2 linked regions of the Xenopus tropicalis genome follow. Each later gene encodes a partner of the first gene's protein in a complex. Links are inferred from orthologs where the notes say so. Each region holds a gene or a part of one and is shown on either strand. Other genes may lie near its edges. The genes, in order: amhr2 and amh.

Evidence for each region.
Region 2: the proteins of amhr2 (region 1) and amh are in contact, whole or in part, in a crystal structure (PDB 7L0J), measured with the Homo sapiens proteins. The link is inferred for Xenopus tropicalis from reciprocal best matches to the Homo sapiens genes AMHR2 and AMH. Residues at the interface, in NP_065434.1 of Homo sapiens: Gly31, Val32, Arg33, Gly34, Ser35, Thr36, Thr38, Leu39, Phe62, Ile64, Glu75, Met76, Arg80, Asp81, Ser82, Glu84, Pro85, Ser95, Arg97, Ala98, Pro100, Ser101, Leu106, Thr108; in NP_000470.3 of Homo sapiens: Leu471, Arg472, Glu474, Val477, Leu478, Ile479, Pro480, Glu481, Thr482, Tyr483, Gln484, Lys534, Leu535, Ile537, Leu539, Glu542, Arg543, Ile544, Ser545, Ala546.

Annotation. Positions count from the first base shown.
Region 1 is NC_030678.2:146,934,520-146,938,630, forward strand, and holds the end of amhr2 (anti-Muellerian hormone type-2 receptor), read right to left. Parts: coding exon 4,055-4,111; intron 3,806-4,054; coding exon 3,658-3,805; intron 2,811-3,657; coding exon 2,674-2,810; intron 2,165-2,673; coding exon 2,048-2,164; 3' UTR 796-2,047; downstream 1-795. UniProt on the Homo sapiens protein: On ligand binding, forms a receptor complex consisting of two type II and two type I transmembrane serine/threonine kinases.
Region 2 is NC_030677.2:102,616,727-102,620,553, forward strand, and holds part of amh (muellerian-inhibiting factor), read right to left. Parts: intron 1,133-3,827; coding exon 954-1,132; intron 607-953; coding exon 486-606; intron 114-485; coding exon 1-113. UniProt on the Homo sapiens protein: Plays an important role in several reproductive functions. Induces Muellerian duct regression during male fetal sexual differentiation. Also plays a role in Leydig cell differentiation and function.

The sequences.
Region 1 (4,111 bases):
TTCACTTTTTAGTGTTACTGTTCCTTTAAAATGACATGAAACCAGCAGGACAAATTTTTATGTGCTCTATCTTGCCCCTCACAGTTGACCTTGAAATGCTTGCCCCCCCCCACAATCCACTGTTTATCAGCATTTCAGCATCTGTAAGCTTTATTATTTCACTGCAACATTAAGGGCAAAGACACATGGGGCAATTAGTCACAACGACTTTTAAAAAACTTGGTTGCGGCAACGAATTGCGGTAATTTACCTGCCATAGATTAATCTACAAGATGCCGCATCAAATAGCGCACCGTTTGCAGCGTGTCGATTAGTGACCATGACTTTTTTAAGTCACCCCCTTAGGGCTCTGGCACACAGGGAGATCAGTCACGTGCAACAAATCTCCCTGTTCGCGGGCGACTAATCTCCCCGAAATGCCATCCCACCGGTGAAAATGTAAATCGCCGGTGGGATGGCATACACGGCGCTGCAATTTCCCTGAAATTGCGGAAGTTGCCTTGAGAGGAAATTTCCCTGAAATTGCGGCGCTGTGTATACCATCCCACATCAGGGAGTTTAGTCGCCCGCAACAAGGGAGATTTGTCGCGGGCAACTAAACTCCCTCGTGTGCCAGAGCCCTTAGGGTGAAGACAAACAGAGCTACTAGTAGAAGCTACTTGTCACAGCTATTAAATAAACAATGCTGATCATTTACTGATAATTGTCTCAGTAGAAATGTGTGTTTTAGCAAAAGCAATTCTCAGTATTGTCTTTGGCAGGGTATTTTCTTTGATATGATATTTACACATAACATTAACACTTTAATGAACTTTAATGAATGTATATTGGAAATTGCATAGGATTATATATATTATACAAAATCACCTTTGATGTAGCTGAAAAACTAAAAAGAAGAGTTTACCATACTGTTCACCGGTACCATTTTGTTATTAAAATCGATAGATCTCTGCTACTGTGGGCAACAAACTGCTCAGAAATGCCTTTCCACTAACAGCAATAGTAGTCGCCTTTGGAAAGGCCTACACATCACTCTGGCTTTCCAAAGCTGGATGAAGTTGGCTTGCATAGAAAGATGAGTAATAACAAGTAATAAATAGGTTGCAATAACAATAAAATCACACCAACTAATCGCCTGCCGCAAAAGTTGCGCCAACTTGTCACGCACAGTACATTTCGAATGCGGCATCTTGTATACATGTGCACGGAGATTAGTCACCGCGAGTCGAATCAACTGGGTTTTTAAAATCACAGCGACTAATCTCTCCTTCTGTCTTTGACCTAAAAGTGTACCACCCCTTAAACTGATCAAAACAAACATCTACTATTTTTTACCAAGCTGCTTGTGTAATGAGTCGGAAACACATCAGTCTTCCGTGATCAAGAAAGCTGTTTTCTTTTGTTTACCATGGGCACTATCTGGCTATTTACAGGACAGGTTTGCTGTATGACAGCATTTATTTTTTATCCCTGATAAACATTAAGGGATTGCATCATTATTTACTCTTTATAAGCTGTGCTGTGCTTTCCACCAGCAACAATAGGAGTTGTGGGGGGAAAGGCTATTGCATTGCTTCGTTATTCCTGAAGTCGCGCAAAGACGCCTGCCTGCAGGAGGAAACCACACTACTTCGGATAAACGAAGCAATGCGATGGCCTTTGGGTATTGCAGTTGCTATTCTGTAAATAATAAGTAAATACACTGTATCTGATGCTAAGGCTTATGCCACATGGGGCAATTCACCGGTGTTTGTCAGCACATTACAAATGTACTGTAATGCTCCTATATTGTGCAAAATTATTGTTTGAAAGTGCAACCTGTACCCACCAGCTAGAACATCCACAAGCCAAAAGTTAAGAGTTAACTGCCAACTGCAACAAAAACTATAAAAAAAAAAATATATTTGTCAAAAGTTCTTGTATTAATTGTGTTTTAAGGTAAATATTGACAATTAATATATCCATAATGTCTTATCAGTAATGACATATACAACATTGCCTCACTACAGCTGCACATTTAAAGCCACCCAGTATGAGTTGCTGGGCCTCAGCACTGTGGGTTACAGAGGTTGCTCAGTCTCTCTTCTGCACACTGCGCTGTTAGACGGGCCTCGGAATCAGGATCCCAGCAATCTTCCAGAGTCTCCCAGAGGGCTCCAACAAGCTGGAATATGGGGTATAGGGGGATATGTTATATAGAAACCTGTTATCTAGAAACACAGCACTGTCAACACTGTCAAGAAATATGATATTGGTTAATTGGAAATCTAAATAATATATTGGAATACAAGACTGGCATAAGGCTGTGAAAGAAGACTAATAAAAAAAAATAATTGCAATAAAAAGAGGGAAAATAAATATTCATGGACAAAAATGGAATCCTTGGATAAAATATATACAGATATAGGCTCGATTTTTCAGAGACAATGATAAAATTGTTTCAAGATATCGTATGGAATTATGAAAATGTAAAACGACACTTTGGAGAATATTTGGGTTATGTATTGGAAATACGTCTGAATGAATTATTTGTGCAGAGCAGGCCTTGGGCCAATTGGAATAGGGCGCTGCACCAATGGGAGCCCGCATCAACAGGAATAAGCACATAAAGCAAACATATATAATACAAATGTAATATATATTGTGAAGATGGTACAGCAGTTAAAAAGTTACCTTGATATTATTGCCCCAGGATTTGGGAAGCTGTGGCCGTCTTTTATTTTCAACTATCAATGACTGCAGCTCATGAAGAGTAGGATTTGGACCCAGTTCTTCAAGGAACACCACTTGGAACTCAGGTGCACATTGATCTAAGAGTTACAAGGCTTCATCTTAGTCTCATCTGCATAAGTATTAAGATATCTACAATACTACAGTATACACTACAGACATACAATATACAGTTATTTTTCACCAACAACCTGCTTGGCTTTTACTATAATTGTTTTCATGTAGTGATTAAGTCCAGCCTAAAGAATAATTCACTGCTAGGTCTCTGTTGGGTGCTGGCTTGAGCACCTTTGAAGCATGTATGTGACTGTCAGTTTTTGAGAGGGCCCAAGGCAAGGCAGGCCAGTCTGACCACAACACTTCTCCAGAGTAGCCTACTGTTTCCCAATTATAATGTCTAAAATTAAATGCTTAAATTAAATTTTCTTTTATGAACCTCAGTGTTAAAGTGTACTGCTGATGTGATTACATGCTCTACAACATCTCATGTTGTCAAAGTAATTGTATCAACTCATCTTGGGAGTTTTGAAGTACTATAAGATGTATGGTTTTTTTTCATATATATGTAGGGGGTGGTTGATGCCACCCTCATCCCCTAGTGTGTAGTACAATGCTGGAGATATCTGGTTGCTAGGGAACCAGCCAGGATCTATTGATGTGAGGCAGATAGCTTATTGGCATGGTTGGAGACCACAGAAGGAGATTTGCAATGTACAGTAGCACCTAACTGAAGTGGCCCAGGATCAATGTATTGCTCCTAAATTCTGGATAGAGAACTCAGCCTGAATCAGCTTTTATTAGTAAAAGCAAGCGGTGAAAGCTACTCCTGATCATTAGAGGGCCCTGACTGCCTGAAACAGTGGAAAGCCTTAACAAAAAACTAGTGAACCCAAGCACAATTATACAACTTAGGAAGTCACTTCTCACCTGCATATAAGTCATAACATCGACTGAATATTTCCCATAGTAATAGTCCAAGTGAATAGACATCAGCCTGAGTCAGAGCCAGCTCCCATAACACAAGATTCAAGGATCCATCCAACATCTCTGGGGACATATATCTCAGCGTACCTGTCTGTAGGAAACAAGTGATAATCAACTTGCTTGCAAAGTAACACAGTACATGGGCGTAACTATAAATTGAACAAAACTTGTGACTGTTGGGGAACCAGAAGGTTATGGGGGCCCAGAGGGACACCAACTATTAAGAAGTTTCCGTATATGTTTATGAAAAATATCCAAAGTTTCCCCAAAGGGGGCCACAAAAACATCTGTAAGGATTAGTAGCTTCTGACACATTCTGGCCTATTTATTATATTCTTACCATACTTATAGCTGGGTCCTCAGTGTTTCTTTTCATTATCTTTTGTCCCTCCAATAC
Region 2 (3,827 bases), on another chromosome or scaffold:
ATCTTTGCTGGTCTCACCAATAACCATGAACAGTGCTGGTGTCATCTTGGTTGAGCACTTTCTGTCTGTGCCAAAAAGTAGCTTCTGAAGTTCAACATTGGTTAAAGAAAGTCCTGGCCATATGAGAGAAAAAAATAAGGTATTTTGTTTATTTATGTAATTGTACTTCAATGAGCTGTATCGGGTACCACCATCTGAACATATACATATAAGTTTTTGTTTAAAATAAAAGGAGGCTATAAGTGTATAGACTGAAATATAACACACTGATTCATGCTGAATCAACTGCTTATCAATTTTATTTCCTCCTCCACCCCCAATAGTTTCTAGGAACATGTTACTGGCTAAGCTCGCTGCCAACTGAGCAACTGAATTGGAAAAACTTGCTATGTTGTTCCATTGCCTGTACTGAGATATTATTATTCTCTGGCATCATAGTTATTCCCCTATTGATAAAATAGCCCAGGATCTCCATATGTCCTTACCATTAGAAAGCCCTTTAATATGAACAGACAGATGGAGCATTAGGTCTCCAGAAGGATGGTTCTTCGCAGTTCCTCCTACTCTCATAACAAGATAGCGGGTGTTTAATGACACACAAGCCACCTGCATAAAGGAAACCTTATTGTATCAGAAGTACAGTTATTTCACATTTCTTTTATATGAGTTGTTGTTGGCCCTGGTACAAAATACAGTGTATATTTATTATCTATTAGCTGTTAAAATATAAGGTTATAGAAAGTAGCCTTGCGAGCTAACATTTCTAGTTGGCAAAAAAAAAAAAACTGTTCCTGCTATAAACATAGTTTTCTTTCATTCATTCTTTCATTATTCATTGAAATGAAGGACTCTTTTTCTATATACATATCCCATACCCTACATCAATGGTTTCCAAACTGAAAATATATATTAGCTAAATATATGTGAGTGTAATTATAAAACCCCTTGCTTGCCTGTTCTGGTTGGACTCCTTCTCCTGACACTAGAATTTTAGATCCATGGTGATCCATGTAGGACTTATGTGTGTCAAGATGAAAGACAAGCAACATTAAGTGAGGATGTTGCAGATGAGCAGTGACATGTCCCTTCACAGCCCCCTTGAAATGCAGGCTGGTTCCAACTTCCCAGTCAACTGATGGCAAGAAAAGCAAAACAAAGCATTTATTATTAGCCACTCTAAGATCCGAATGATGTTTAGAAAACATACAGCTTATCTCTGTGCAAAATATGCAGCCCATCCATGCTGGCTCACTGTACCAGTAAACACAGTTAGGCAGAATAAGGAGTTCATCTTAGCGTTATAGCACACAAAGTAATTAAGTGCACCTACTGAGCAATAAGATTGACATTTGTTTTCTAAAAATGCAACTTTAAGCCTGTTTTTGACAGGGAAAAAGGTAACCAATACAGAAATGCCCACATTTTTCCTGAACTATATGGTTACCATAGTGAGCAGTGTCAGATATCCTCACCAATCAATTCCATGGAAGAAATAAAGTCATATACCCCAAGGGGGTATACTGTCAGAAGAAAAATAAACAATCATAACCTAGAACAGCGGTGAGGGCTGGAACTGGGAAAAGACATAAGAGGCACAAGAGTAAATATCTAGGGTGCAAGGGTGTGTGGGGCTCAATTCACATGGAGCAACTATTAGAAAAGATAGTGGCAACAAGCAAGCATAGCTGGCAGTGGCAGGCTAACTAGTGGTGGTCAAAATGCCCTGCAGGTCTTGATTTATCTGATTTTAGCTTATGTTAAGAACATTTAAAGGGGAAGTATACCACCTTGTTCAACATGATTTCCATGAATATGGCTTTTGCTGAACATACTTTTTACCTTTTCTTTTGTTATTTCTTGAGCTAAGCAGGATGTACAGGGAAACTGAAGCTACTCTATGTTTGGTTCTTGCAAGGTCCTTGTTAAGTATGACTCCTAGCCATCTATTTAGTTTTAAAAAGGCGATATTTTCAGGGCCATTTTAATAAATAGGCAAAAGGGGCATTTGCTCAGGGCCCATTAGGATAGGCAGGCCCTGGATTTGTGGCAAGGCCACAAAGGCTTGGGCCTAGGGCACAAATTTAGGGGTGACATGCTGCCATCCAGCCACACTTCACAGAAAACTTCAGCACATCCTGTCCCCAGTGCTCCGTATGTGAAATAAATAGATGGGCATGTGCATGATCCTAAATGAGGGAAGGGAGCAGGGGATGGGGGTGACCTCTGGGTACCTTAATTAGAAATCCGGCAGAAGCATTCAGCAGAGATAGCATAACAATTCTGTCATTTAACAACTCTCAGGGCTGTTGGTCCAGGGCAGCACACTAGGGCATCATGTCTACTAGGTACGCGCAGACCATTTCTTCATTGCCAGCTTTACTATATTGAACTTGAGGCTTTTATTGGGGTTGGGCAGCTGTAGTTAGTACTCAAACTGTGTTTTTTTTTTTACCAAAAAATATCAAATTCTTGGGCAAAGTTTAAGTATTTCACATCAACATCTTTTCCATGATCTATTTAGTACTTGCCTTTTCTTGTTCGATTGTGCATTTCTCCACTATAGCAAGTCAACAATTTCCAGTCAGTCTTATCTATATTTTAATTCCTTTTTTTTTTTTTTCAGAAAATAATACTTCGCCTTCCTGTCTATTCCCTTTATGTCTCTGTTTATAACACTTGGCATCACTGACATTAAATAAAATTTTTGGTTCACCTTTGACTTTTAGTATGATGAAGACAGTGACATTTTTTCCTGTTTGGAATTTTAGCAGCTATATGATTTCTATGGTCCAAATTACCTTAGCAACCAGGCAGTGATTTGAATTAGATATAAATAGGTTTTACTTATATTTATAAGTAGGATTTGTCCTAACAATAATTATATATTATTTTACAGAAGTATACAGGAGTCTTTAATTAAATGCAGGAAAGAAAAGCAATAAATACCATGGCATCCTTCCAAAGTGCAGGACTTGATGGGGGGGGGGGGCAGAGGGCGAGTTAATATACAGGCATGGGATCTCTTATCCGGAAACCCATTATCCAGAAAGTTCCGAATTACGGAAAGCCTGTCTCCCATAGACTCCATTATAAGCAAACAACTCTAATTTTTAAAAATTATTTCCTTTTTCTCTGTAATTATAAAACAGTACCTTGTACTTGATCCCAATTAAGATATAATTAATCCTTATTGGAGGCAAAACAAACCTACTGGGTTTATTCAATATTTAAATGATTTTTAGCAGACAAGTTATGGAGATCCAAATTACGGAAAGATCCCTTATCTGGAAAACCCCAGGTCCCAAGCATTCTGGATAACAGGTCCCATACCTGTACTACATTGTATTCATTTTAAAAAATCTTTTCTTACAGGTGGTTGGTTTTATGGGACTGACTCCATGAAAGTAGGTTACCTACAAGTGTTATGTTCATGCCAATTTGCTACCCATAGTACTCTTTGATTGTGCATGCATGTTAGCTCAATCATAATAATTGCATGTAGAAGTGTCTATTAACAATATGACTTAATAATAGCAGTCATACTAGCTTGTTGCATAATGTAGGGTGAGAACCTTGTCTCTGTTTGCCACCCGACCAGTAAAAATTATGCTTGATATCAATGTTATTAATAAGGAAGAAACATGTGTGGTAGGTTATCAGGGGCAGCAAAAAAGGCACTTTTGGGTTTTACACCGAAAAACACATAAATGATCAGGCACTCAATAATCCCAATGTTGACAGGTTAAATAAAAGTAATACAACAATATTAATAGATTAAGAAAGAGAGTTTATAAGCTATATCCCACTGATAGGTCCTGAATATATAG